Linked DNA regions of Canis lupus familiaris. The protein of the gene in region 3 interacts with the protein of the main gene of each other region in a biochemical or structural test. Links are inferred from orthologs where the notes say so. Each region holds a gene or a part of one and is shown on either strand. Other genes may lie near its edges.

Region 1 (4,134 bases), on a different chromosome or scaffold from region 3:
TGCCTGCCTGCCTGCCTCCCTCCCGCCCTCTGCTCTGCTCCAGCCACACTGGCCTCCTTCACGTTTCTTGAATGCACTAGGCACAGTCCCACCTCAGGGCCTTTGCACTGGCTGTTCCTTCCACCTCCAGAACACTCTTCCCCTAGATATTTTGTCTTCCTCCCTGATCTCCTTCAGGCCTTAACTCAAGGGTCACCTTCTAAGTGAGGCCTGCCCAGTGCCCAAGATTTCAATCACTCCCGTACTCTCTCCCTGTCTTCCCGACTTCACTTTCCTCCTTAGCGCCTAACATACTATCTAATTTTACTTACTGTTTTATTTATATAGTCCGTCTCCCCCACTTTTAGCAAACGTCTGCTCCACAAGGGCAGGAATTTCTGCCTGTTCTGTTCCTTCCCATATCCCCAGCACCTAGAAGAGTGCCTGGTACTCAGTAGGTGCTAAGTGTTTGCTGAACGAACAGTCCCAACTAGTTTCTTTAGCTAGTTTTCGTATACCCTCTTCATCTCCAACCCTTCCCTCCCCTTGCACCCTGATTTGTCTGAAATAATATTTTTCACCTTCATGCATGCAACAAATTCTTATTGAGCACCTAGTATATACTAAGTATATTTACCCAGCAGTAAATAAGCAGACAAAAAAACTAAACCCTCATTGGACTGACTGTTCTAATGGGGAGGGACAGTGAACTGGTAAACTACACAGTGTGTCTGATAGTGATGAAGGGCAAAGGGGACCACTACTGCAGAGAAGGAACCTGAGTCCTGTTAAGTATGTAGGTTCAGATGATCAGGGGCAGGCTGACATTTGAATAGAGCTCTGAAAGGACTCACATACAGATCAGGGGAACGACGTTATTCCAGGTAGAAAATATAGCCAATGCACAGGCCCTCAGGCTGGGCTGTATCTGGCGTGTTTGATTTGAGGATGAGTGAGGAGCTTTGTATGGCTGGAACAGAGTCGGAGGGACAAGGTGCAGGAGGTGCAGCCAGAGAGGTTACTTGTCTTATTAACTCTCAGATATGTTCACACTGGAGGGGATTCTGGTTTTGATGCCTCCATTTTACAAATGAGGAAGCAGGTGCGGAGAGAAAGTGGTTAAATCACTCAGATCATATGGCTGCTGCGATTGCGGGTGGATGGGTGCTGAGAAAAAGTGTGGAATGGAGACAGCTCTGCAGGCGGGGGGGAAACTAGCAAAAACAAAAGCTTGGAGACGGGAGGTGCTTTGTTTTTTAAGGAGTGGGGTCTCATGTGGCATGGGATGAAGTGAGAAAGGGGATCCTCAAAAATTATTCTGTGTTCTGAGGGGCAACCTAACTGGGTACTTACCTCTGAATAACGTATTGAGCCCCTTGTGCCGAACTTTCCTGAGTACCTGTCTCACAGGATTGTGGTGAGGACGAAATGAGGTCATGGATATAAAGCACTTTGCCAGGTACCTAGTAGGTGCTCAATAAACGTTAGCTCCTAATGGCATTATCGCTATCTTGAATGCATCCGTTTATTGCAGTGAGGCAGAATGTCTTAGGGATTAATGATGTGTACGAGGGGGATGTGTTCTAGAGTAAAAAAGAGCCAGGTTCAACAAGCACACAGGATGATCCACCATTAAGAAGAGAGGAAGCAGGGAAGGCCATGGACTGATCCACCACAAGGAAAGGAGGGACAAAATAAAAGCACCCTCCTGGAGAAGAGATTACAAAGCACTGGACTCAGGGGAGGGTATGGGGGTGTGTGCCTGGATGCAAGCACATGGGGAACAAGAAGGCCAATGAACAGATCCACTGCAAAGGCGGGGGTGGAGGGGAGTGCAAAGGCTCATCTTCTTTATGGGGGGCAAGGGGAGCAGAAAGGCATCTACTCTGCACAAGAGTAGATGGGGTGAAATGCCATCACACGGACTCATTAAAAGGAGAAGGGAACAAGGCCATGGAATGAGCTACTGAAAATGGGGAGTTCAAAAACACGAAACTGACCCACTATTAAAAGGAAGAGAGAAGCCCAAGGGCTGGAGAAACAGTCTGAAAAAAAAAAAAAAAAAAGAGGCTAGGGCAATGGGCTGATAACGACAAGGGATGTGGATACTAGCATTCAGACCGATACACTGTAAAAGATAAAACCATGGGACTGATGCACTGGGGGACTGGAGGAGGCAGGAATACAACTTCACAGATTAACTCACTGTTAAAGGGGGTGCGGGGGGGGTGCAACACGCCATGGACTGATTCACTACAAGGAACAGAACTACAAGGCCACAGACGGGGCCCTTGAAAGTTGAGGACAGGAGAAAATAAACAGTCAGATGCACCTTCTGTCAAGGAGGGACAATGCCCGAGGCTGCTCCCCTCTAAGTGGGGGTGGGGGCGGGGCAGGACCACGGACGAGTCCACTGTAAGGTGGGGTGGGGAGAACTATAAGCACGCAGACCGATCCATTATAAAACAGGAAGGGGGGTCAGGCCACGGTCAGATCGACTACAAGGGGCGAAGGGAGGGGACAATACCACAGGCAGGTCCACCAGCCGTGGCGGTGGCGGTGGGCAGTTGAACACCAGCAGGCCATGGGCCAAGCCACATCCCTCGCGCGGGGGCGGGAAGGATACGTGGGGTCACGGACGGGCCCTCCACCCTCCAGGCCCCGGGCTCACCTGTGTGTAGCGCAGTGGCAGTATTGGCAGCTCCGGGGGGCGGGGGCTCCATGCGCAGCCCCACCGCCCCCCAGGCCCGGGCTCCGAGGTGGCGGTGGCGGCGGTGGCGGCGGTGGCGGCGGCGGCGGCGGCGGCACCTAGAAGCCGCCCCTGCGTTTCCTCACGGCTCACGTGGGCCCCTGGAGGAGGAGCCGAGCATTCCGCGGCTGGTTGATTGGACACAGCGCCTTGGCTCGACCGCGCGGCTTCCAGGGTTGGGGAGGCGGGCCCTGCCCCGCAGAGCTAGGCCATGATTGGCCCGAGGAGAACTGATGGAACGCAGATAGCCGCCTGGGTTCCGAGGGGGCGTGCTGGGCCCCGCTGGCGCTTCACGCTGATTGGCCCAAGGCTGACAGCCTGTGGGCGATTGACAAGATTCTGGGGGCGCCTGCCTGATAATAATTGGCCTGCATGGAAGACGGCCTCCGAGGATAGGGGCGGATGGACTCTGCTTTCTACTGATTGGCGGACTAGGGACTCCAGACAGCTGCCAAAACACCAACTGGGCGGTGCTGCACTCCACGCTGCTCAGCGGAAGCGGGACTTATATGGAAGTGGGCGTAGCGGCAGGCTGGGAGGGGGTCGGGCCAGGACTGTGCGTAGGTGGGAGGATAACTCTATCGTGATTGGGTAGAAAAGACGAGTTTAGGACAGAGCAGAGATAGGGTTGGACAGCGGCCAGGCACGCAAAGGAGCGTTGAGTGGCGGAAACTAAAGCCTACGAGGAGGTCAGCGTTGAGCCTCAGCCAGTTATAAGGGGGCGGAACCTGGCTCTGCAATGATTGGCGGAAGCTAGACTCAACCTAAAATAGGGGCCGGCCGGGGTAGGGCGGGATCAGGCTCTGCGCCCATTGGTGGAAGCTGAAATTAGTTAGAAGCCGGGTGAGGCCAAGGTTGGAATGAGACGGGCGTGGGTGTAATCTAAGGTACCCCAGTAATGATTAGGGTGGGGGAGAGGGGCAAACTTTAGGGCCAGGAATGAAAGGCTGATTGTCTTGGGAACAAACCTCCACCCTGAATCAGCCCATTCTCTATGATTAAGACAGTTACGTCCAGGAAGATAAAAGGGTCAGGTGGGAGGCCCAGGTTTCCAAGGCGACAGAAAAGAGGGCAGTGCAGAAAGTCAAGTGGCAAATGCTGCCAGGCAACAGGCTGGAGGCGGGACTTCAGGGGTGCTTTAAAGGTTCCACATAGAGACTGGCTCTCTGGGGTTCCTGGTAACTTTGTGCTTTAGAAACAGGGCACCTTAGCAAACAGCAAAGGGTTGAGGTGGGGAAAGAAGGGCCATGTGACTCAAAGGCATTCAGGCTCTTTAATGTCTACGGAGGCGGGAAGAAGTCAATAGTGAGGTGTCTCCGGGAAATTCTGCAGGCCTTGTAGTTCTCTAAGCCCCTGAAAAAAAGGATAGAAGAGATTGAACAGAGATTGTCTAGGCCTCAGCCCAG
Region 2 (4,180 bases), on a different chromosome or scaffold from region 3:
GCCGGAGTGCCATCTCAACCCTCATGTCACAAAGCCCCCGGGCAGTGGCCCAGCAGGAGTGGGCTCAGCTGGAAGGCCAGCCACACCCCGGTCAGCCTGGGAACCCTAGGGAAGGCATCTAGCCAGCATTTCTCTGCTGGAACAGGGGGAAGCTGTGTTCCTTCAGCCCCCTGCCCTCCCGCACCGGGTAAGGCGTGGGCAGGGGCTGGAAGAAGGGTGGGTGGGAGAGGCAGCCAGGCAAAGCCTTACTTAGCCCACTCTCTGGGTGAAGGTATGTCATTTCTCCAACCTGGCACTTCTGGGAATATTCCCAGGCACAGCCCAGCCTTTGCAAAGCCCCCTCTCCTCCTCCCCCCACGGTGCCTGGGAAGGACATCCTGAAAATGGAAGAGGAGTCGAGACTGAAGGCCCAGCTGCTAAGCAAGAGGCCTAAGCAGCCCCGAGCCTGTCCCCCATCCCTGCCCCCACCCGACACACTGAACAAAGGCTGCAGCTCCCACGCGCACCCCAGTCCTGCCATCTGGGGATGGGCACCCACTCGGCACCGCCTGGGATGCTCCCAAAGGCAAAAAGGAAGGGAGCCCTGGCCCTCCTCAGCAATCCCCAGTTCCCCAGGGGATCAAGTAGCCGGGCTCCAGACCTTTAAAGGCTGTACACCGGAGGGAAGCCGAATAGGGGCAGGAAGGAGGAGAGAACAGGCCCCCTAGACTTCCAGGAGAATGGACAGTCCCTAAGAAGAATTTCTCTGCTACCCCCAAAGCATTGCCTCTTGTTAGTTTTATAAGAGAACTCTGAGTCCAGCAGACTCGAGGTGGCCATACAGGGAGGAGCCTGTTGGCGGGAGGTGGGCAGATGGAAGCCATCCTGCCCCCGCCTGGGTCCCTCCACGAAGGAGTTTCTGGGCCCTGAATAACCCAGGCGCTCAGGCAAAGAGGGTTGGTTACACCCTCAATCATGAGCGGCCTGAAGGGGCAGAGACAGCACCACTTAGAAGGAGATCCTCAAGTTTGCAGACCCGTGGCAAACTAGCGCAGAGGCGGCCCCGGGACGGGTTCCCATCCCATGTCCACCCCTGGGGTCTGCACGGCTCTGGCCCTCCCAGCCAGGGCCGGGGGGGGGGGGGGGGGGGGGGGGGGGGCGGGGCAAGAAAGCAAGCTGGAACACAGAGTGCCACGATCAAGGGAACAGAGAGAGGGGGCAAAGGCTGGCACCACCTCCTGGCCAAGAGCCCGGGGAGGGGGGGGGCGAGGGGGGGAACGTCCTCTGGGTCCAGCCCTCTCCCACCTCCACGGGCGACGCACCCCTGGCCTGACACTGCCACAACCGGCCGGGGGCCACACAGCCCCTCAAGCTCTGCACCAGCCACCCGGTAGTGCCCACCCGCCCGCCCGCAGGCATACGCGGCACCTGCAAGAGATAAGAGTGGCCACGTCTTCCAGCGCTAGGACAGCCGGGGCAGGGATGGGTTTGGGGTGGAGAAGAGGTAGCAGCCACCTGGAATAAGGCTGGGTGTTCCAGCCTTATTCAAATCCTGTTTCTCCACTTGGACATCCCACATCCGGATCAACCCCCACCAACCTGTCCTCCCCCTCCACCCCCCTCGGCGCAGGTACTTAACTACAGCAGATATGGACCTGCATCCAGCGTCAAGGGGGTGGGGGAGAAGCAGTCCCCCAGGGAGGAGGAAGAGGCGGGGCTGGAGGAGGGAACAGGGAGGATCCGGCTTCAGGCAGGTCCTGGCAACAATGTGGTTTGCACCTGTTATGCTGAACAAGCTGCGGGCTGCACCCTACCTGTAGGATCCAACGGGGACTGGGGGGAGGGGGGCACGGGTGTGACCGGGCTGTGGGGCTGTGGGGGGTGTCCTTCAGGTACTACACCAGGGACTCCAACATGAGCAATTCTCACTCGGGATCCCCAAGGACCAAGATTTCCACACCTCTCTCTCTCTCTCCTCTGTCCGCACCCGCCCCCACGCCCCACAGGATCCAAGACACCTCTTAACCAATCTTCCCGGTGCTTCCCAGACCCTGCCTCTAAGAAGACTGAGTGGAACACCAGCAGCCCCCCTCCACAGCTCAGCCAAGCCCCCCATGCTGGCCACTTCCTCCAGCAATCCAGAAGTCTCCTAACACCGCTCAGGCACCAACTTCGGGGATCCCTGCAAACTAAGCCACAGCCTCTAACGTGTTAAGAAAACAACTAAAGGAACGAGGGGTGGGGGAGGAGGCCGACCAGCCGGGGAGGAAGGAGACCCTTTTGGAAACCCAGAGCTGGCAGGAGTCCCGCGGATCCTTGCAACTCAAGTTCTGGGGATCTTCCCCCCCATACACACACACACACACCCCGCCCCACTGTACCGAGAGCCCATCAGCACCTCGGTCCGGGGCGCCCTGGGCCACTCGGGCACCCAAGTGGGGGGGGGGGCGCTGAACCACAGGCAGCCTCGTCCCCAGCAAGTCCCCACTCCCGGTGCCAACTCCAACTCCACCCCACCCCCCCCCCGCGGCTTCCACCTGGCTTCCACCTTGCACCTCTCGGGCGCCCGGGGGCTGGAGTGCGGCCCGGGTCGTGCCCCCGCTGCAAGCGCTCCCCCCGACGCCCGGGCTGCACCCAGCGCCCGCGCCCCTGCACGCCGACCCCACAACATCCTTTCTGCCCGCGCGGACGGCCGTCTCCCCCATGCAACACCCCGAAAGCCGGGGCTGGGGCGCACGCTCCCCGCGGGGCACCTACCCGGCGGCTCCGCTCCGCCCGCCCGTCCGTCCCGCGTGTGCGCTCCCGGCCGCGCGCTCCGGGCTCCGCAGCCTGTGCCGCTGGGGCTCCCCGGCGCAGCCCGACCCTCCTCTTAAGCGCTCCGTGACGCACGGCGAGGGGCGGGGGCGCCACTGACGCACGCGGCCCGGCGAGCTGTGGCCATACAAGGGCGCGGGGGGCGGCGCGGTTCCGGCGGGAGGCGGCGGGGGGAGGCGCGGGCCGGGGAGCCCGGGGGGCGGGGCGAGAGGCTGGAATGTCTGCGCGCGTGACGCACGCGGGGTTCCATTGACGCAGGGAGCGCGGATTGTTTGATCTATAAATAGTCCCCGCGCGCCCGCCGCGCCCGCTAAAAATAGCAGCTCGCGGACTCCCGAGGCTCCCCCCGCCCCGCGCGCCCCGGGCCGCGCCACCCCGAGGAGGGGGCGCTCTAGAGCCGCGGCCGCGGGGCTTCCCCGGGCTGAGCTCCCTGCAGCGCCCGCTGCTCCGCCTTCGCAGCCGCGCAGCCTCCCCGGAGGCCTGGGGCGCACCTCGGGGCGCACCCCGCCCCCCCCCGCAGCCTGCGCCCCTCCAGCCCGCGGCGCAGCGCGGCCACTTACTCCCCAGCAGCAGGGTCACCGGGTCGTCTGAGCCTCGAGCCCCCCTCCCCCCGCTTGCCTCCGCCCCCTACTCTCCCACGCAGGGCACCTTCCGAGGGCAGGCGTTGGCCGGTGGGCCCCGCTCCACGCGCTGGCCCTGATCGCTTCCCAGTCCCTTCCAGGGTGGGTGCGCTGCAGCTGGGAAATGACCGAATTTCAGAACCGGGCGGGGCCTGAGAAATCTGGTCAAATTTGTGCCGACTCTTTTTCCCCATTTTATAAATAAACAAGCTCGGAAATGATGGCACTTGCTCAAGGTCACACGGCGAGGTGGTGGCACACGCTGCCCCCCCCCCCCAGGGCCTCTCACTGCATCTCTAGGGGATCTTCTCACGCCCTCCCCTGACCACCTGTGGAGAGGGTAGCCTCGACCTGCCCCGTGAAGCCAGAAGGGATGGCCAGGGCTGCATCGATGGATCGGGCACAGGCCGCACTGCAGCCACCTGGAGGCCTCCCTGGTCTGGTTGTCACCTCGACACCCCCATTCCACCCCTGAACCTGGGGAGCCTGCACCTGCTAAGTAAGAGAGAGAGGGATAGGAGTGCTAACGTTTACAAGAAGAGACACCCCCCCCAAACACTGGGGTCCCACCCGGTCCCCTTCTCCCCGCAAGTCAGCTCGAAGAGTTCCTGCTTCCACTGCGCCTGCGCTGATGGCCCTACTCTCACCTCATCTGGCCACCCGACAGCACTTCCCCCTAGCCTTGAGGCACTTCCTGTTCCTCCTCACTTCCACTCTCACCTCTCGGGTTGGGTTTCCCACACCCTAGTTTCCAGCCTCTCCTGCTG
Region 3 (4,113 bases):
AGGAGTATAATAAGAATATAGTTTCCTACTCTGTCAGGACACTTAAAGACAGCCCATTTCAAATTCATTAATGGAATATACTCACCAAAAGAATCAGTGATATCTCTTTTTAAACATAACTTAGGGGACGCCTGTGTGGCTCAGCAGTTGAGCGTCTGCCTTCAGCTCAGGGCCTGATCCCGGAGTCCGGGGACCAAGTCCCACATCGGGCTCCCTGCATGGAGCCTGCTTCTCCTCCCTCTGCCTGTGTCTCTGCCCCTCTCTCTGTGTCTCTCATGAATAAATAAATAAAATCTTTAAAAAATAAAATAAAATAAACATAATTTAGAGTGGAAAGGGGAGTAACTGCTAATGGGTACGTAGTTTTTCTTGGGGTGATGAAAATGTACTGGAATTGCATAGTAGCAATCAACGCAGAACTCTGAATATATTTAAAACCCATACTGATGCACACTCTAAACGGGTGAATTTTATGGTATGTCATTTGTATCTCAATAAAATTGTTATTTTTAAAAACCAAAAGAATTTCAAAAACACAAAAAACTGGATTGACATGTAGCCTTACAGTGAGCTACCACCAAAGGATTGTATCAGTAACACTTTCTGAAATCTGACATACTGTAACTAGACAAATCAATAAAAGTTTGGTATCTCATGATTTTCATTCCTTATCTTAATGAAGTATTTCCTTTTAATTTGTTCTCTGCATCAGGCAATACTATAAGCTCATTTCAAATTCTCTCATATCCAAAACATGCTAAAATTTATTAAACTGTGAGTGGAAAAACGATGTAACTTGAATAAATCAGTATTATTTGGAGTTTCAGGCCCATATGCTTCTCCAATAGTAAAATCTTAAATTCAGTTAGGCCCAAATGCTTCACCAAGGTAGAATTTTAAATTAAACATTTCTACAAATGCAATTAGAAATTAAACATTTCAAATAAAACTTTCATGTAGCTTATTTCCCATACTCTAGCTTTTCCCCTTACAGGCGTCATCAGAAACTTTTCAAGCAATGTTCAAAAAAGGACAAATTCAATCATTTTAGACCCCTGCTGTAATATCACTATGTCTGTGTGTGATACACATACTAAGAAAAAAAAAAGACAAAAACAACAAAAGCATTTTAGACAATATTTTATTTTAGGATAATGAATTAGAAGTGCTAGGAAAAAAAAAACTAAAATATTCAAAAGCCCCTGATGCGGTGACAGATAGTACAAATGAACGAATCACTTAGCCCACTGAAAGTGAGTTTGCAGAGAACTGTAAAGAACTGTAAAGACTGGATTTTAAATAGTATTAACCGTGAAGAGTTTTTCATCAAGCTCTTATTGAACACTTACTATATTCCAGGCTAGGGCTGGAGACACAGATGAAAGACAGGCCTGTCCTCAAGGAAATCCCATTTTGATTGCTTGCTTTTGTCAGGCACAGCACTGAGCATGTTCCCTTACAGCATGTGATCTCCTAGGTTTAACCCACAGCAGGGAAATCTGAGATAAACATTACAAATGACTTTTAAGACTGTAAGGCTGTTAAAACTGAAAAGTTAAATTTGTAAATAAAGAAAGCCATTGTACGTTTAGATCAACCTCCTAACTGTACTAAAAGAAAAAAGAAAAAAAACCCAAAACCAAAAAAATAAATGACCCAGAGTATAACGACACCTTTAACGCACACTGCTTACATAACTCATTTAAAAAGACATCCATTACATTTCAAAGCATCCTCCTCCATCAAAAAAGTATTTCTCTTCGCTTCAAACTCTGAGTACAGTGCTGAACAGCTGCTCAATGAATGAATGAAATAAACACATGTTCCACCGGCCCAGATACCTGCCGGATGCTCATCCCAAAGCACAACGGCCTGACAGGCCGGAATCCTACCGAGGCGGCTCCTGAATCTCAGAGGTAGAAACAGTGACCCCGCAACCCCGATGCCCGTAGTCGGCCCGCGGCTACGCACCCTCAGACACCCGCGCGGCAGGCGTTCGTCGCGATCCTCTACGACCGACTCGGCTCCACCGTCTGAGCCTTGGGAACACGAGTGCAAGACAAAGGGGAGGGGGCGGGGAGGGCCGGAAGGTCCGCACCGGCGACCCCCGAGGGGAGGCCGCGCTCGCGCACGCCGACCCCGGCCCGGCCCCGCGGACCCCGCAGCCCAGGGCTGACGGCGCCTCCGCCCGCAGCCTCGGCACAAAGAGAGCCCGTGCGCGAGGGCGGGCGTCGGGACTCGGCGGCCGCGGGAGCGAGTCAGGCGCCTCCGCCCGACCTTCCCCGAATCGCCTCAGGACCCGCCGCCCAGCGCCCGCCCCACGTTCCCTCCCGACGCGGACGCGGCATCCGCGAGGGCAGCGCGCGGGGCTGTGGGGCGGGGCGGGCGCGCGGGCCGGGGTCCGGCAGCCCCACGCCCCCGGCCGCCCCGCCTCCGCGCCCGCCATTGTTCCCGCGCCGCCCCCGCCCCGCCCCGCCCCCGCCCGCCCGCCGCGCGCCCCGAGCCGCCGCGCTCCCGCCCCCACTCCCGGGAGGGGGTCCCGGCCGCGGAGAAGGCGGCGGCGGCGGCGGCGGCGGCGGCGGCGGCGGCACAATAACATAAACACGGCGGGGCCGCCGGCGCCCGGGCCCCGCGGCAGCCGCCGCACTCACCCCGCAACGCAGCGCACGGCGACTGGGAAGCCCGCCCGCGGGACTGGCGCCGTCCGGGCGGTCGCCACGGCCGTTACCCAGGGCGGCTCCGCGCACCCGGCCCCGTCGTCCGGCCCCGGCCGCTCCGCTGAGTAACAGGAACGCGGGCCGTCACCGCGCACGCCCGCCCACGTCATCGCGCCGGGCCCGCCCCCGCGCCTCGCAGGCGGCCCGCGGGGCGGGGCGGGGCGGGGCGGGCGGGGCGGGGCGGCCCCGGGGCCCGGATGCGGGGGCGGGGCGGGGGCGGGGCCCCTCCGGGAGCGGGAGGCCGCGCGGAGGTCGCCTGGAGGCGGAGCTGCGGGGGGCGCGCCGGGACCGGGCGCGAGGGGCGTGTCCGGGGCCGGTGGGGGCGGGGCCCTGCGCGCGGCACGTGCGGCTCCCGGCCCGGGGCGTCCCCTAGTGGGAGCCGGAGGCGAGGTGCCTGCCCTGAGGCCGGGCGCCCGGGAGCAGGCCCTGGGCCGGGCACACACCCGAGACACAGAACGGGGCTTACCTTGACCGACAGCACGTTCCTTTCAGGGCCTCGTCACCTACGGCGAGTGATTGTTCCTTTCAGCCACCTGGAAGAAGCTGCCTCCTGTTTTCCCCAAATCCAGCTCGTGCTAGATTTAATTCATCACCTTATTTATCTCTGAGCTCCCGCAAAGCGTGTATTCGTTAGTTGCAGGAGTGACGAATTGGCAAGCCGTTAAATATCCAACAATGGGTGGAAGGGCGTCTAAATTACATCCATCCATCCAATAGAATGTAGCTTAGCAATTTAAATGCCAGGTGTTCAAGGAATTCTTAACAATACAGGAAAATGTTCACGATGTATCATGAAAACAAAGAAGCAGGTCTCTATATAATGATCCTACCTATGTATTATGCATACATGGAAAAAACCTGAAAAGAAATTTGCCAGATTAGGGGATCCCTGGGTGGCGCAGCGGTTTGGCGCCTGCCTTTGGCCCAGGGCGCGATCCTGGAGACCCGGGATCGAATCCCACATCGGGCTCCCGGTGCATGGAGCCTGCTTCTCCCTCTGCCTATGTCTCTGCCTCCCTCTCTCTCTCTGTGACTATCATAAATAAATAAAAATTAAAAAAAAAAGAAAATTACATTACTTTAATAATGAACACATGAATATTGTTGAGTAAATGACTGAATCCAGGAATACTATCTTCCCTTGTCCTGTTGAGTTGGCCTGTTTCCAGTGATTCTGAAATGAAATATAAATGTGAACAATCATTTGTACATTCTCTCCCCGTTTCCTTGCTCTCTCAGCCTTTTTTCCTTTCTTCCTTTATTTCTACAATAAACAATTATCACATGCCCATTCTGTACCTGGCACTGTGCTAGCACTGGCAATACAATGGAACTTACATATGTAATCAACATAATATGGAATTAATAATGGTAAACAAATGCAAAATGATCACTG
Region 4 (3,500 bases), on a different chromosome or scaffold from region 3:
GAGACACAGGCAGAGGGAGAAGCAGGCTCCATGCACCAGGAGCCAGATGTGGGATTTGATCCCGGGTCTCCAGGATCGTGCCCCGGGCCAAAGGCAGGCGCCAAACTGCTGCGCCACCCAGGGATCCCTTAACTGAGAACTTTTAAAAACAAAATGCTTTTCATTGAATGAGAGAATCCCAGGAAGGTCTTTGCTTATACTTTTAAACCTATATTCTTAGAGTTAGCTCTGTGTCTTTGCCGAACAGCTACATCCGACATATTGGGTTTAGCGTATGTTTGTTGACTATATCTTCCAGTTAACCCTCTTAAAAAGGGGGATAGGGTAGAAAGAAAGGAGCTGACATCTGTTGAGCATCTGTTGCATGGCACATACTGAGCCGAGATATTTAAAAATATTATCTCAACAGCCATGAGAGGTGGGAATGATGATCTCTGTTTTATAGATGAGGAAGTGGAAATCTGGAAGTTAAGGTATTTTTCAACTTCACGTACCTCTGGTAGCTAATGGATTCTGGAACTTGGCAGATGCCATGCTCCCATTGACATCCCAGTGTAGGAGAAACTGTAGTGTGCTTCCAGAGGTAGAGACTATCAATGTGTCTATGTTGCTGTAAACTGGGAGAAACATATAGGATACTGTCCAAAGCATCTTGTATCCCTAATCACAGACCTGATGCCTGTGTTGGGTAGATGGGGTGTTTCTAGATTGTTTACTCACACTAGTGCTTGCAGTGACCATATGAACATTTTGGTTTACAGTTGGGACCCCTGATTTCCACAGGATGGCCCAATGGAATCAGCTACAGCAACTCGACACACGGTACTTAGAGCAGCTTCATCAGCTGTACAGCGACAGCTTCCCAATGGAGCTACGGCAGTTTCTGGCCCCGTGGATTGAGAGTCAAGATTGGTAAGTCCTTCCTGAGAAATTCCCCAAAGTGTCAAGTTTTGATTTGAGTCAGGAAACATAACCTATTCTAGCTTAACTCTGTCCTATTTCATAAAAAAACTGATGGGTACAGGTGATGGGATGAAAGAGATCAGGAGATAAAGAGGTACTCTCAGTCTTGCAAAAGCGTTTTATCCATTAGAAGTGTGTGTGGGCAACTGTCTCTTGGCACCTCGAAGCAGCCTGCCTGGGGTAGCTGTTTTGAAGGCTGATTTGAATCTCATTTCCTTGCCGAGGTCCTCTGTGTGTTCTGACACTCCAGGGATGCACTACAAATATTTTTTGCTTCAGTGAGAGTTCTCTCATGTGTGGAAATTGGGACCATAATTCTGATTACCCTTTAATTAAAGGAATGAGACACAGAGTAAGAGAAATAAACTCATTCATAGAGAAGATAATGGCTCAGAATTCCAACAACTATTTCCTTTTTTTTTTTTTTTTTTTTTTTTTTTTTTTTTTTTGAGAGAGAGAGAGAGCTCCAGGAAAGGGCAGAGGGAGAGAAAGAATCTTATTTTTATATTTATTTATTTATTTATTTATTTATTTATTTATTTATTTGTTTGTTTTAAAGATTTTATTTATTTATTTGTGATAGAGATAGCAGGAGAACAGGGGTAGGGAAGAGGGAGAAGCAGGCTCGTTGCTGAACAGGGAGCCTGATGTGGGGCTCGATCCTAGGCCCTCAGATCATGACCTGAGCTGAAGGCAGATGCTCAACCAATTGAGCCACCCAAGTGCCCCGAGAATCTTAATTTTAAGCAGGCTCCATGCCCAGTGCAGAAGTCACATGGGGCTTCATCTCACAACCCTGAGGTCATGACCTGAGCCAAAACCAAGAGTCAGATGCTTAACAGACTGAGCCACCTAGGTGTCCCTTTTTTTTTTTTTTCATTTTGATATGTTCAGATCCATATATTAATTTTCATTTAATTCAGGCCTATGACCTAGTTTTTTCTAGAATTTGGTGAGGGCCCAGGGAGGTGAGTCAGAGATGATGGAGATGGGCCACCCCAGCCTGGGATTGCTTATTAGTTACTAATAATCTGGCTGTGGAGCTGAGAAAGCAAACTAGCATATCTGTTCACTTTGCTCTTATATCTTATGAGTATATAAGATATTAATCTTATACTAATATCTTTTAAGTATAGACTATGACAGTGGCTTGTAGTATCTGATTATAATTGTTAATAATCATTAAATTCATGACATATCTTGTTGCTGAGCAAGGTGAATCTAAAGTGATGAGTGAGTTAAAGCATCAGGTTTGTCTTGTTTTCTTCGCTCCTTAATGGTGATTTCTGTGCATGCATGTGTGCGCATGTGTGTGCATGCGAGTGTATGTAGGTTTCAGAATCATTCTGTATCCTTCTTTTTTTTCCCAGGGCATATGCAGCCAGCAAAGAATCACATGCTACTTTGGTGTTTCATAATCTCTTGGGTGAGATTGACCAGCAGTACAGCCGTTTCCTACAGGAGTCAAATGTTCTCTATCAGCACAATCTGCGAAGAATCAAGCAGTTCCTTCAGGTGTGATAAGAAACTGACCCTGCAGAGTAGGATGTTAGCTTCTGTCCAGGAAGTATTTCTCTTCTCATTAGCCTGGGTAATGAGATTCTATCTTGTACTTTAAGTCAAAGGAGAAATTATTAGCCCTTTCTCAAACCTCTGTGTACCCTCCCTTGAGCATCATTATCTGAAATCCAATTCTTTTGTCCGTTGACGTCATCGCATAATTGTTAATGGTAATCGTATTACATTAGCATGTTAATAACAAGATCAGAACTAGTGGTTTCATAGGAAGATGACCTAATTTTTTTTTTTTTTTAGTGGGGGGATGTGGGCAGAGAGAATCTTCACCAGGCTCCATGCCCAGCAGAGCCCAGTGCGGGGCTCAATCCCATGATCTTGAGATCATGACCTGACTCAAAGTCAAGAGTCAGATGCCAAACTAACTGAGCCACCCAAACGCCCCAGATGACTTATTTTTCAATGTTAAATGTTTGACCATAATTGGACACCCACGGACAAGGTCTGTCACCTCCATGTAAGACCACGATAGCATATTGTCCAAAGACTCAGACTAATGTACCTTTTGTCACAGTACATCTCATTGTGACGGTCTTTTTTCTGTTTTTCCTTCATCTCCCACCAGTGGCAGCCAGGTTCTGAGGCCCTTGTTTTATTGTTTCATGTAGTAGATGTAATCTTTTGGGTCCACATCTTCTTAGTCTACTGCTACTTTTCGTTTTCTCTCTCTCTCTTTTTTTTTTTAATTTTTTTTAATTTTTATTTATTTATGATAGTCACAGAGAGAGAGAGAGAGAGAGAGGCAGAGACACAGGCAGAGGGAGAAGCAGGCTCCATGCACCAGGAGCCCGATGTGGGATTCGATCCCGGGTCTCCAGGATCGCGCCCTGGGCCAAAGGCAGGCGCCAAACCGCTGCACCACCCAGGGATCCCATCATTTTCTCTCTCTTACTTATAGAGCAGATATCTGGAGAAGCCAATGGAGATTGCCCGAATTGTGGCCCGGTGCTTGTGGGAAGAGT
Region 5 (2,637 bases), on a different chromosome or scaffold from region 3:
AGATGGGGACGGTCGGGCCGGTGCTGGTACGGAGGTGCGAGGCCCGCGGAGCGGTCGCCGGAGAGAGCGGGCCGGGCGGCGGGGTTCGCGGGCGCGCGCCTCCTGCAGTCCCGGGGCCCGCGGGGCGCACCGCCCCTCCCCCCCTGGTGGCAGGTCCCCGCGGACGCGTTCGGCCCGAGCCGAGGGGGCGGCAGGGCGGACAGTGACGGGTCGTCCCCGCACCGCGGCGTCCGGAGAGTCCCGGCCCGGCCCGGCCCCGGCGCGTACCTCAGCCCTGCGTCAGCGCGCCGAGCGGCTCTTCCAGGCGGCGCCGCGGCCTCCCCGCGGCCCTCCCCGCGGCCCTCAGCGCGGCCCGGGCGGCTGAGTCACTGGCGCCGCGGCGGGCAGCGGCGCGCCCCCGGCCCCCTCCGGGCCCCTGCGCCGGGCGAGCGGGCGGCCCTCCGGCCGGGAGGCGGCGGGAGCGAGGGCAGGCGAGCCCGCGCGGGGGAGGGGCGGGCCGGGCGGCGGCGGCGGCGGTGACGACGCGGCGGGGGGGAGCCGAGCGCCGCGGCCGCCCGCCCCGAGCCCGACGTGGCTCAGCTCTTTCCGTGAGGGCGGTGGTGGCCCTTAAAAGGGCCTTTGTGGTGGCATGGGGGCCGGCTGCGGCGCGGGCGCCCCTCAGTACTCCTGAGAGGCCTGCGTGGCCTTCTTGCCGCCCGCAGGCGCCTTCGGCCCCACGGTGGCGCTGGTCTTCTTGGGCAGCAGCACGGCCTGGATGTTGGGCAGGACGCCTCCCTGCGCGATCGTCACGCCGCCCAGCAGCTTGTTGAGCTCCTCGTCGTTGCGGATGGCCAGCTGCAGGTGGCGGGGGATGATGCGCGTCTTCTTGTTGTCGCGGGCCGCGTTGCCCGCCAGCTCCAGGATCTCGGCCGTCAGGTACTCGAGCACGGCCGCCAGGTACACCGGCGCGCCGGCGCCCACCCGCTCGGCGTAGTGGCCCTTCCGCAGCAGCCGGTGCACGCGGCCCACGGGGAACTGGAGGCCGGCGCGCGACGAGCGCGACTTGGCCTTGGCGCGGGCCTTGCCGCCGGTCTTGCCGCGGCCCGACATGCTGCGCGAGGTAGAAGAGCTGTGAAGAGGGACGCCTCGAAGGGGGCAACGAACAGCCGCCCGCCGCAGTCCAACTGCTGCCGCGCGCGCCCAGGGGCCGGCCTTATAAGCCCCCAGGGCACACCTCCGCGCCCTCCTGATTGGCTCTCTCCTCGGGTACCCGCCTCCGGTTGGTTGCAGTTAACCCTTCAGTGACGCGCCACGGCCGAGGCAGCGCGCCCGCCGATTGGTCCGATTTGAAAACCTTTTGCCCGGGGAAAAAGGCGAGGAGGAGTGGTAGCACGCAGCCGGCCAACCCCTCCCCGATGTAGCCAATCCTTGCGAAGGGCGCCAGATTTAAACGCTACAGCTGGAGCCCAGAACCGGAAGGCAAAGAGGGTGGAGTCTGGGCCACCTCGAGGGCCTCTGGGAAACCGGTGCGGGCCCGGGATTTTTAAAGGAACGGGGTCGACACCACTCCCTTCCCTTCCTGGTCTGGTCATTCTTCTCTCCTTTCTCCCTCCTCCCATCCTGCAGAGGGAAATGAGAGAGGGAAGAAATGGGAACCCCTCCCGCTGCTCCCCCTAAAAACTTCTGTTCGGCACCAGAGAACAGGCAAGTCCAATCTTAGGGCTCTCCCTGCCACCTGAAGTATGAGGATTTCAGGGCTTATTCAACATGTTCTATTTGGTCTGTTCTTTCTGTTGACTTCTTGTTACAAGGAGCCCACTGTGCTGAAAGAAAAAAGATGGGCAGAGGGATAGGCATCCTCTTGGAGGAGGTACCTCCACCAATCCTCCCGATCTACCCTAAAATGCCCAAAATATACTTACAGGAACACCAAGAAAAAGACAACACTTTATTGTCACCACTGGGAGCACCTGGCCCCCCAATCTGCTCTTACGAATCAGAATACTTAATTTATGGTCAAATAATCAAGTGATCTTCGAGCCTGTGTCCCTCTCCCCAGCCAGGGTTCTATCCCCAGGCCCAACATATTCCTCGAGAGTCCGAGTGGTGGATAACTGCATAAAAAGCACAGTATCCCACTTTGGGAGGCCGCAGGGATGGGATAGAGAGGGAGAGCAGCAAGTTGAAGAAAGCCACAGGCAAAGTCCAATCAACAGTCAGTACAGGGCAAGACAGGCCCAGGATGTCGATCACAGCGGAACGGAATCGCTAAGTACAAAATCTGGAGAAAAGTAAGAGGTGAGAGAGGCCTGGGCCCGGAAGCTTGCCTGGCCCAGAAAGAGGCAGGCCTGAGTCAGGAACCCTGCAGACTATGCAGTGAAGGGCAAGGATTGGGGGACTCAGACATCGTAGAAGAGCCGGACAAGCTGGTACCGGATGGAGAAGGTGACAGCACTGCCAAGGATCTGTGAGGAGAAAGAAACACACCAGAGTCAGAGCCATGGAGAAAGGGAGACCAGAGCCAGCAAAGCCCTTCCCTGACCACACCTGGAGCAGCAGCAGGAGCAGAGTCAGGTTTCTCTCATGCATGGGCCCGAGAACCTTAAGGAGCAAGTTGAGGAGCGTCATGTTGTTACACTCCGTGAAGGCACCATCCTC
Region 6 (3,500 bases), on a different chromosome or scaffold from region 3:
GTCCTGACTCTGTGTCTTCACCTCACCCTCCCTGACCTCGTTTCTTCATCCATGAAATGGGGGCAGCAGCATTCCCCGGGATGAACGGCGGCCATGCATGTCCAACGCTGGCAAGACACTTCCCGTGACCATGTTGCCGTGAGACGTGAGGGGCCATAGTACAAGGTCCGGTGGGCTCCTACTCTGCCCCGGCCCTACATTCCATTTCCTGCCCCTGCCAGCGATGCTGGCACAGAAATGCAAGCTGCGGCGTGCCTGTGTGTTTTCCTAAGGAGACGGCTGTTGTCTCTTATCAAATCCTCAAACACCCGAGATGCACGGTGGCCTGCTGGGTGGTGTCCTCTGCACGTGCAGCCTCCGAGGTGGGCCCAGGCAGAAAAGTGCGCCTTCATGGACACACACAACGTGCACGGCTACCCCTACAGCCTCGTCCCAGCCAGTGAACCCTACTGATGGGCGTTCCTTCCCATGCCCCTCCCAGCCCAGCGGGCCCAACGCCTGAAGGGCAGCCGGGCCAGGCCCCTGTGGCTGTGGGTGCTAGCCCCAGCGCAGCCTCATCTGGGAGAACAGCATGCAGATGCTCTCAGGAGCCCACTTTTACCTTGAGGCTCCCACTCTAGGAATCGGTCCTAAAGTTGTCACAGGTGTGGGTGCAGACGTCTGCCCACAGCATGTGTGACGGCAATGTCCAAACAGCAAAATGCAGAACCAAGAGAGTTGAATAATTTGCAGTCCTGTGAAGTAATCTGATGTGTGGAGGAGTATCAGTGGGCCAGGGAAACGTTCACATTCCCGCTGGGGAGGGAGACATGACCTGACACGCACATGTGTGTGCTACAGTGCCAGAGAAGGTGTGGCAACGTATTAAAACACTCATGACGGCGGTAGGGGGAGGTGGGCATTTGGTGTTTACCCTGTTCTTGGCAGTTTCTCATATTATTTGAATAGTATTTAAGCATGTATTACTCTTCCGAAAATGAAAATCAGAACGTATACAGGATCATCTGAACTACATAGAGTAGAAGGATGTCAGAATGTTAAAAGTAATTTCCTCTAAGTAAATTGTTTCTGAATATTAATAGTTTTTCTTTTTAAATATATGTTTCTACAACACTTATGAGAAAAATCCCATTAGAAACACCCACTGCTGGGCCTCCTGTTCTTGCTCCTGGTCTCACCACCGAGTACGAACATCCTTTGTAACACTGAACTATACGCTCAAACATCAGCGAGAAGGTAAATTTTACCTTCTGAAAAGACTGGCTGAAAAGACTTCCATTTTAGGCACAAGGTGATGCTGGTGCGGATGCCACAAGGAATCGGTTCCCGGGAGGTACCCGCACCCCAGTTAAAGCAATCTAATCCAACAACAGCCCCAAAGCAAAGAGAGAGTACACGTGGTGGAACACGCCAGTGGCGCCCTTCCCTCATGGCCTCAAGCCCGGCCACATCTGCCGCTGGAAGCCTGGCCGAGCCACCCAAGACGGTGCCATCCACACAGAGTAGCCAAGCAAGTGCCCTCAAGTCCCTGAGGGCAAAAGGTCACCAGTGTTAATCAGTGGAGAGGGACAACAGCAGGAGGGTTGGCAGTAAAAACTCTTTGATGCGATGTAGCTCCTCCTCCTCAGGCAGCAGGCGACTGCATATGGATCACAGCAGCTGAAGCAGCCTGATTCCCATATGGGACCAGCACCTCCCCTGAGGAGGCAGCAGCCCCGGCTCCAGCTGCTGCTCCCCCCTAAGCCGTGAGAAGTGGGGAGCACCCTTCCCTAGGAGTCACCTCCATGGAAGCTGGTGTCCAGAGAGGACTAAGTGGAACCACTGCTCCCTCAGATCCCAACTCCTGCCCCCGACCCCGCCTCCCCTGCCCTGGAGGCTACCTCCCGCCCCAGAGCCCACCTTGTCCCCTGGAGCCACCTTGTCCCCTGGAGCCACCTTGTCCCCAGGAGCCCACCTCCTGCCCTGGAGCCCACCTCCTGCCCTGGAGCCTACCTAGCTAGCAGGAAAGGATTAAGTGCAGCTCTAAGGTCCTGGAGCTCCTGTCCTACAGGCGGGCTTCTCAAAGTTCAGGCTCCAGACACAAGGGCACAGGGCATGTGGTGGGGGGAAGGTGAACACCACCGAGCACATCCAATTTCCTGCCTGCAGTGCTGAGGGCCACAGCTTGCCTTGGAGCCCTGCCTGATGGGCACGCCTGACACCCATCCCAGGACGGGAAGGAGGACCCGAAGTAAGTCTACTAGGGACTGTCTCTGTACCCATTTCCTTTTTTACGATTTATTTATATATTCATGAGAGACACAGAGAGAGGCAGAGACACAGGCAGAGGGAGAAGCAGGCTCCTGCGGGGACCCTGATGTGGGACTCCATCCCAGGACCGGGATCTCGACCTGAGCTGAAGGCAGATGCTCAACCACTGAGCCACCCAGGCGTCCCTCTGCACTCTTTCCAATCCAGGTGCAGGGAGTTCTGGGGGCAACCGTGGGCTCGAAAATAGGCAGTGACCTCATATAAGCATATTCTTTGAGGAAATTGCTAGAAAGTGCACTGCCTAGACTGAGTGCTCAAAGGCACAGTTTTATTTTCAGAGTGATAGAATGTTCTAAAATTAGAAAGTGACACAGCTCTGTGAGCACCCTGAAACCCGCTGAACTTTAAGTAGTTTAAGTTTTATGATATGTGAACTACATTTCGATAAAACTATAAAAAGAAGTTCCTGGCTCACAGCTGACAGAGACTTTGCTTTCATTACCAACAAAACCAACAACAGCAACCTGAGGCCCTAGGGTCACGGGGGTGGCTTGAGTTTACCTAGCAGGTCAGCTCCTTCATCCACGTCCCCAATGACTTCTGACCCTGCGGTTGACAGCTCGTGGTACAGGGAGTCAGTGTTGATGCCAAAAGCCTTGTTCACGATCCCCTGGGTCGGGCTGTGAGGAAACACCCGGGAAGCACAGGGTGAGTGGGCAACATTCGTGGGCTGTGGGCAGGGGCCCTCCAACACTGCCCACTGGGCCACTCAGTGCCAATGCTGCTGTGCAAGAGGCTGCAAGGGACACCTCCACCAAAGGCGCCGATGCCCACAGTGAACACAGAGCCCTCCAGGACCCCAGGTTCAGGGAGTACCTGTTGCCCGTGCGATCAAGGCGGGGTTCCCGACTCATGTCCAGCTCTGGGGTGGAATCGATAATGTCTTGAACATCAGACCACTCATCACTGCTGCCCATGCCTGGGGGGGACACACAGGAACCCCAGGGTTGGGGGGGCATCAACCCTCTGGCCCCACGTCTGGAAACCCCACACTAGATCACCACCAGCCAGGAACTGTCAGGAAAGGGCTCTTCCCTGGGTGGTGCCTGGCTAGGACCCATGCCCCAGAACCATGTCTCTTTTTCAAGACCTCCGATGAGCACACCCAATGTCCCGCTTCTCCTCCTCCCCTTCCTCTACTGAGCATGTCAGGAGTGCACTGCCAGAGGCCAGTGTGTCCCCCAAATCCA
Region 7 (4,137 bases), on a different chromosome or scaffold from region 3:
CAGTGTTGTTGACCATCTGGTTGGCAGGGCAGGTGGCAGAGGTTCCGAGGGCGGTGGTGGCGGTGCCAGCGGCGATGGCTTGGGTTTGGGCCTGATTGTCCTTGTCGTAGGTTGCCACAGTACAGCAGCTGGCAGTGCTGCATCCACAATTCAGGGCGCGGGCAGAGCCGCTGGATGAGGGCATATACGTCAGATTCGCAGCCTTGAGGGATACGACGGTGGTCGCAATGACGGGAGGGGGGCTGTCACTGCCCGGGGTGGCCGAGCCAAGGTAGCTAGAGTCTAAACAAAGGTTGAGATCCTGAGGTCGGACGGGCCTAGACAGTGCCACTACTACCCTGTCGTCTAAAGGAGACGGAGGCATGAGGAGGCTGAAAACTGGCAACTGAAGAACTCAAGACAGTCTGTAAAGAAGGGGAGGGGGAAAGAAAGAATAAAGTCATGTGACACACAAGGCAGTCTGATCCAAACCCTAGGAAAGGCCTTTGCATCCCTCTGAGTGAAGTTGTCCTAAGGGCCCTTTATCAAGCCGCTCTCCAAGCCCGAAACTCATTTTTTTTTTTTTTTTTTTTACAGATTCCAAGAGGATGTCAACCCGAGGGCCCCCCTCCTCTTTGGTCACTAAGTCCAAGGTTACACGTACAGCCCACACAGTTGATGAACCACCTTCTCACGGACGTACTACGTGGAAGCTCAGCCTTGGAGAAAGGACAAGCACAAAGAATGGGAAAAGCCGAAGACAGAAAAGAAGGCTCCTAAGAGGCATCTATTCTGGGCCTCACCTCCTGGGCAGAAGCATAGTGCAACCGTCTGAGCAAGACCCACTTGTCCACCCGTGCATACTTTCCGTTTAATTCCTTCACTCACTGCAAAGGCAAAGGAATGACCAAGAGCGCTGGCCCGGCTCACCAAAATATACAGCAGCTAAATATACATCAGGGGCGGATGGCAACTTTCTGCAAATCAGAATGAGAGTATCCCCCTAAGTGAATCTCTTGAACGGGGAGCTATTCTTGCTTTGCATTCCTTTGAAAAGCACGACAGAGTCATATGAAAACCTCCCGTGTTTCCTGTTAGTCTCTTATAAATTAATTCTGCATTTCCCCTTTTGTTACAAACGAAATGTCCTGAAACAAAGCCTCAGGCTAAGGAGCCAGGCTGGTAACCCCCAACCCTGGCAGACCCATCGCCCTTTGCTGCCCACCTCATCCCCCCCCCCCCCCAAACACACACAAACACATACACACACTCCTGCCTTTAAGGAAAGGACCACATCGACTCTGCTACCTCCTTCGTTTCCCTGCTGACAGAGGCCGGGCATCCCAGAGGGATGGGAGGCAGCCCCGTGGATAAGATCTCAATCCCCCACAGATAGACCCCCGCCCCTCCAAGAGGATGAATTCCGTAGAAAGGACTTCCCAATGAGCCGGTCCCTGTTAAAGGGGGCAGTGAAGTGTTGCCCACAGGGTCCACCTCCTGCCTCAGGAGAGGGAGCCTGCAAAGGACCAGTTCCCTCCTTCCATAGGCACAGGGGCACTCTACCACCCGACCCTACCAGCTCCTTTTCTATTAGACACGCACCGAGAAAAGAAACCAAACCCCATGCAAGAGCCGCTCGTCTAAAGGAACTTTAAGAGATGTCTGGAAAAATGTCATCTATCATCCGTCTACACACGACCGTCACCATTCTCTGACACCGAGCCAAAGTGTCACAGGCAGAGTCCACACGCGGGCGCGCACACACACACACGCAGACACACAGAGACACGCACCCGACTTGTTCCCAGATCCCCACCGACTCAGGTTTCTCTCCTCCACTTTTGGATGGGAGAGAAGGGTTCATCCCTGGCCCTCCGGCCCTCCCACTCTCCCTCCCTCCTTTGCGTAGTATTTTTTTTTTTTTTTTTTTTTGAAGAGCAAGTACTATTCCAGAAGCTAGAACTGTTTCCCAGCTGGACCAAGCGGTGAAAGTCTCTGCTATTGTGTTACCAGGTAGGGTATGTCCCAGGATCAACAGCCCATTTCCTTGGTGAGGGACGCATAAGCGTGTTCATGGAGACACAGGCTGGGACCCCCACCTCTACGCGGAGTGCGCGGCTCACACACACACACACACACACACACACACACACACACACACACACACGCCGGAGTGTAGAAAGAGATCTGCATCCCTGCAGCAGAGGGTCGGGCGTCTATATTGCCCATGAAAGCATCCAGACCGGCCCAGGAAACCTCCCAGAGAAACACTAAGCTGCCCCCTCTCCCTTGCTGGCCGTCCTTCCACCTCTTAGGCAGGGGCTGGAAAGAAAATTAAGTCGTTAGAGAATGCTACTTCCCCACTCCTGGGCGCTCATCCCCCTTCGCAACACAGCGCACTAACAAGCCCCTGGCATTTAAAACTGCCGCAAAGCATCCCAACAAACCTCATTTTCTTTCTTCTCCCCAAATCCAAGTCGACTGCGGAGAGAGTCAACGCACAGGGCAGCGTGAGCCAACAGCAGGAACCCTATACCCTCACCTGCTGCGGCTCCCCCGTGAGCATCGCATCACACACACACACACACTCACACTCACACTCACACTCACACCGCCTTACACTCCCAGGCTCTCCAGAGGAGCCGCGCTGACTTCCACTTACTTCATAAATAAGTGTAGCCCTCCACCATCTGGCGCTCCGCTTCAGCTAAGGATTCGCCCATTCAGCCCCCATTCACTTGGCTTCATTGATCTCCAGCAGCAACATAGTTACTTTCTCTTTTGCTACACTGTAAATGTAAGGTTCTGAGGGGGCGGGCCGGCTGCCGAGCGACGGCACGTCGGGCCAATAGGAAGCCGGAGAAAGCCGACCGCTACCTCGCCGCGGCCCGCGGCCAATGGGCAGCGGGCGGGGCGGGGCCGGGGGCGGGGCCTCGTCTCTTTAAGGAGGGCTTATCCGACGCCGCTCCGGGTCCTCGGTGTTAGAACGCGGGCGGTGATGTCATTGGCAACCAATCAAAAACTTAAAAGGGCCAGCCGGGGCCCGCGCGGAGCAGCTGCTCTCTATTTACATGTAAACCGAACCGGCTGGATGCAGTTAACCCTTTCCGGGGCCGAAGTGTCAATGGGCCGGATCGCTGCTCCGGCTCAAACCGGCTGGGTCCCTGGGCCCGGAGCCCCCCGCGTGCCCCTGCCCCGGGGGTGCGGATCGCGTCTTCTCTTTCCCTCCTACTCGGGACCAAGGATCGGAAGAGTCGGAGTAACTTTCCGAGGGCGGGCCCCGCGAGCAGTCTCCGTCCCCGGCGGGGAGCCGGCTCGCCCAGGCGCTCCAGGTGCTTCGACAGACCCTAACCCGAGATCCGCGGCCGTCGCCGGGCAGCCTGCGGCGGGAGCGGCGGGAGCGGCGGGAGCGGCGGGAGCGGCGGGAGCGGCGGGAGCGGCGGGAGCGCGCAGCCCGGGAGCCGCTCCTGCACCGGGGCCCCGCGAGCGCCCACCACGCGCTGGGGGCGCCGGGGGCCGGGAAGCCGGGCCCGCCCAGCCGCGCTGCTCCCCGCGTCCTCCGCCCGCAGATGTCGCTGCCCCTCCGGGTGCCACCCCGCGCGGCAGCGGCGCGCTCCGGCCCGCCTGCAGCTGCGCGCGGTCACGCCCCCGCCGACCCCGCCGGCCTCCCGGGGCTCGGCCCGCCGCCCGGAGGGCTGCTCAGAGGCGGCGGCCTGGGGCCCGGCCAGAAGCTGCAGGGAGCGCGCGCAGTAGCCGGGCGGTCGCGGGGCTCGCCGTGCGCGCAGGGTCCCCGCCCCCCAGCGCGGCCCCGGGGCGAACGCAGGCCCGCGGGCCCCGCGCTCCTGGGACACCGCCGCGGGCGGAGAAGCAGCCGGAGCGGAGGGTAAACCACCCGCCCAGGTCGACGGGGCGGCGCCGCCGCTCTGGGTTTTCCAGACTTTTTTTTCCCGAGGAAGAGCCTGGGGGTGGGGCGGGGGTGGGGGCGAGGCAGGCTGGCTTGCGCCTGGAAAATCTCAGAGAAACTGCGGGAAAGTTGTCTTGGGGTACGCAGAGGGGTGGAGATGCTACCTGCGGGGAGCCTGCATCAAAGGACCCTAAAGAAATAAGAGCTTTTTCCTCTTCCCTCGCCTGCAGGCGCAAAGGAGTTTGATAAGGACA

The links.
Region 1: of the proteins of MAPK8 (region 3) and ELK1, one has a biochemical effect on the other in vitro, tested with the Homo sapiens proteins (3 studies listed by BioGRID). The link is inferred for Canis lupus familiaris from reciprocal best matches to the Homo sapiens genes MAPK8 and ELK1.
Region 2: of the proteins of MAPK8 (region 3) and NR4A1, one has a biochemical effect on the other in vitro, tested with the Homo sapiens proteins (2 studies listed by BioGRID). The link is inferred for Canis lupus familiaris from reciprocal best matches to the Homo sapiens genes MAPK8 and NR4A1.
Region 4: of the proteins of MAPK8 (region 3) and STAT3, one has a biochemical effect on the other in vitro, tested with the Homo sapiens proteins (2 studies listed by BioGRID). The link is inferred for Canis lupus familiaris from reciprocal best matches to the Homo sapiens genes MAPK8 and STAT3.
Region 5: the proteins of MAPK8 (region 3) and H2AX form a complex in vitro, tested with the Homo sapiens proteins (2 studies listed by BioGRID, with this or other methods). The link is inferred for Canis lupus familiaris from reciprocal best matches to the Homo sapiens genes MAPK8 and H2AX.
Region 6: the proteins of MAPK8 (region 3) and MAPK8IP3 form a complex in vitro, tested with the Homo sapiens proteins (3 studies listed by BioGRID, with this or other methods). The link is inferred for Canis lupus familiaris from reciprocal best matches to the Homo sapiens genes MAPK8 and MAPK8IP3.
Region 7: the proteins of MAPK8 (region 3) and DUSP10 form a complex in vitro, tested with the Homo sapiens proteins (2 studies listed by BioGRID, with this or other methods). The link is inferred for Canis lupus familiaris from reciprocal best matches to the Homo sapiens genes MAPK8 and DUSP10.

What each region holds. Positions count from the first base shown.
Region 1 is NC_049260.1:41,470,256-41,474,389, forward strand, and holds the start of ELK1 (ETS domain-containing protein Elk-1), read right to left. Parts: upstream 2,801-4,134; 5' UTR 2,651-2,800; intron 1-2,650. Other genes in the region: protein UXT, read right to left, coding at 4,028-4,081. UniProt on the Homo sapiens protein: Transcription factor that binds to purine-rich DNA sequences. Forms a ternary complex with SRF and the ETS and SRF motifs of the serum response element (SRE) on the promoter region of immediate early genes such as FOS and IER2.
Region 2 is NC_049248.1:43,697,335-43,701,514, reverse strand, and holds the start of NR4A1 (nuclear receptor subfamily 4 group A member 1), read right to left. Parts: upstream 2,801-4,180; 5' UTR 2,737-2,800; intron 1-2,736. UniProt on the Homo sapiens protein: Orphan nuclear receptor. Binds the NGFI-B response element (NBRE) 5'-AAAGGTCA-3'. Binds 9-cis-retinoic acid outside of its ligand-binding (NR LBD) domain.
Region 3 is NC_049249.1:431,453-435,565, reverse strand, and holds the start of MAPK8 (mitogen-activated protein kinase 8), read right to left. Parts: upstream 2,801-4,113; 5' UTR 2,652-2,800; intron 2,046-2,651; exon of another isoform or gene 1,972-2,045; intron 1,500-1,971; exon of another isoform or gene 1,350-1,499; intron 1-1,349. UniProt on the Homo sapiens protein: Serine/threonine-protein kinase involved in various processes such as cell proliferation, differentiation, migration, transformation and programmed cell death.
Region 4 is NC_049230.1:20,455,442-20,458,941, forward strand, and holds part of STAT3 (signal transducer and activator of transcription 3), read left to right. Parts: intron 1-761; exon of another isoform or gene 762-783; 5' UTR 784-784; coding exon 785-912; intron 913-2,333; coding exon 2,334-2,478; intron 2,479-3,436; coding exon 3,437-3,500. UniProt on the Homo sapiens protein: Signal transducer and transcription activator that mediates cellular responses to interleukins, KITLG/SCF, LEP and other growth factors. Once activated, recruits coactivators, such as NCOA1 or MED1, to the promoter region of the target gene.
Region 5 is NC_049226.1:14,790,354-14,792,990, reverse strand, and holds H2AX (histone H2AX), read right to left. Parts: upstream 1,193-2,637; 5' UTR 1,090-1,192; coding exon 658-1,089; 3' UTR 501-657; downstream 1-500. Other genes in the region: DPAGT1 (UDP-N-acetylglucosamine--dolichyl-phosphate N-acetylglucosaminephosphotransferase), read right to left, coding at 2,379-2,444, 2,527-2,637. UniProt on the Homo sapiens protein: Variant histone H2A which replaces conventional H2A in a subset of nucleosomes. Nucleosomes wrap and compact DNA into chromatin, limiting DNA accessibility to the cellular machineries which require DNA as a template.
Region 6 is NC_049227.1:39,591,761-39,595,260, forward strand, and holds part of MAPK8IP3 (C-Jun-amino-terminal kinase-interacting protein 3), read right to left. Parts: intron 3,230-3,500; coding exon 3,127-3,229; intron 2,931-3,126; coding exon 2,812-2,930; intron 1-2,811.
Region 7 is NC_049259.1:16,925,301-16,929,437, forward strand, and holds the start of DUSP10 (dual specificity protein phosphatase 10), read right to left. Parts: upstream 2,801-4,137; 5' UTR 2,642-2,800; intron 405-2,641; 5' UTR 365-404; coding exon 1-364. UniProt on the Homo sapiens protein: Protein phosphatase involved in the inactivation of MAP kinases. Has a specificity for the MAPK11/MAPK12/MAPK13/MAPK14 subfamily. It preferably dephosphorylates p38.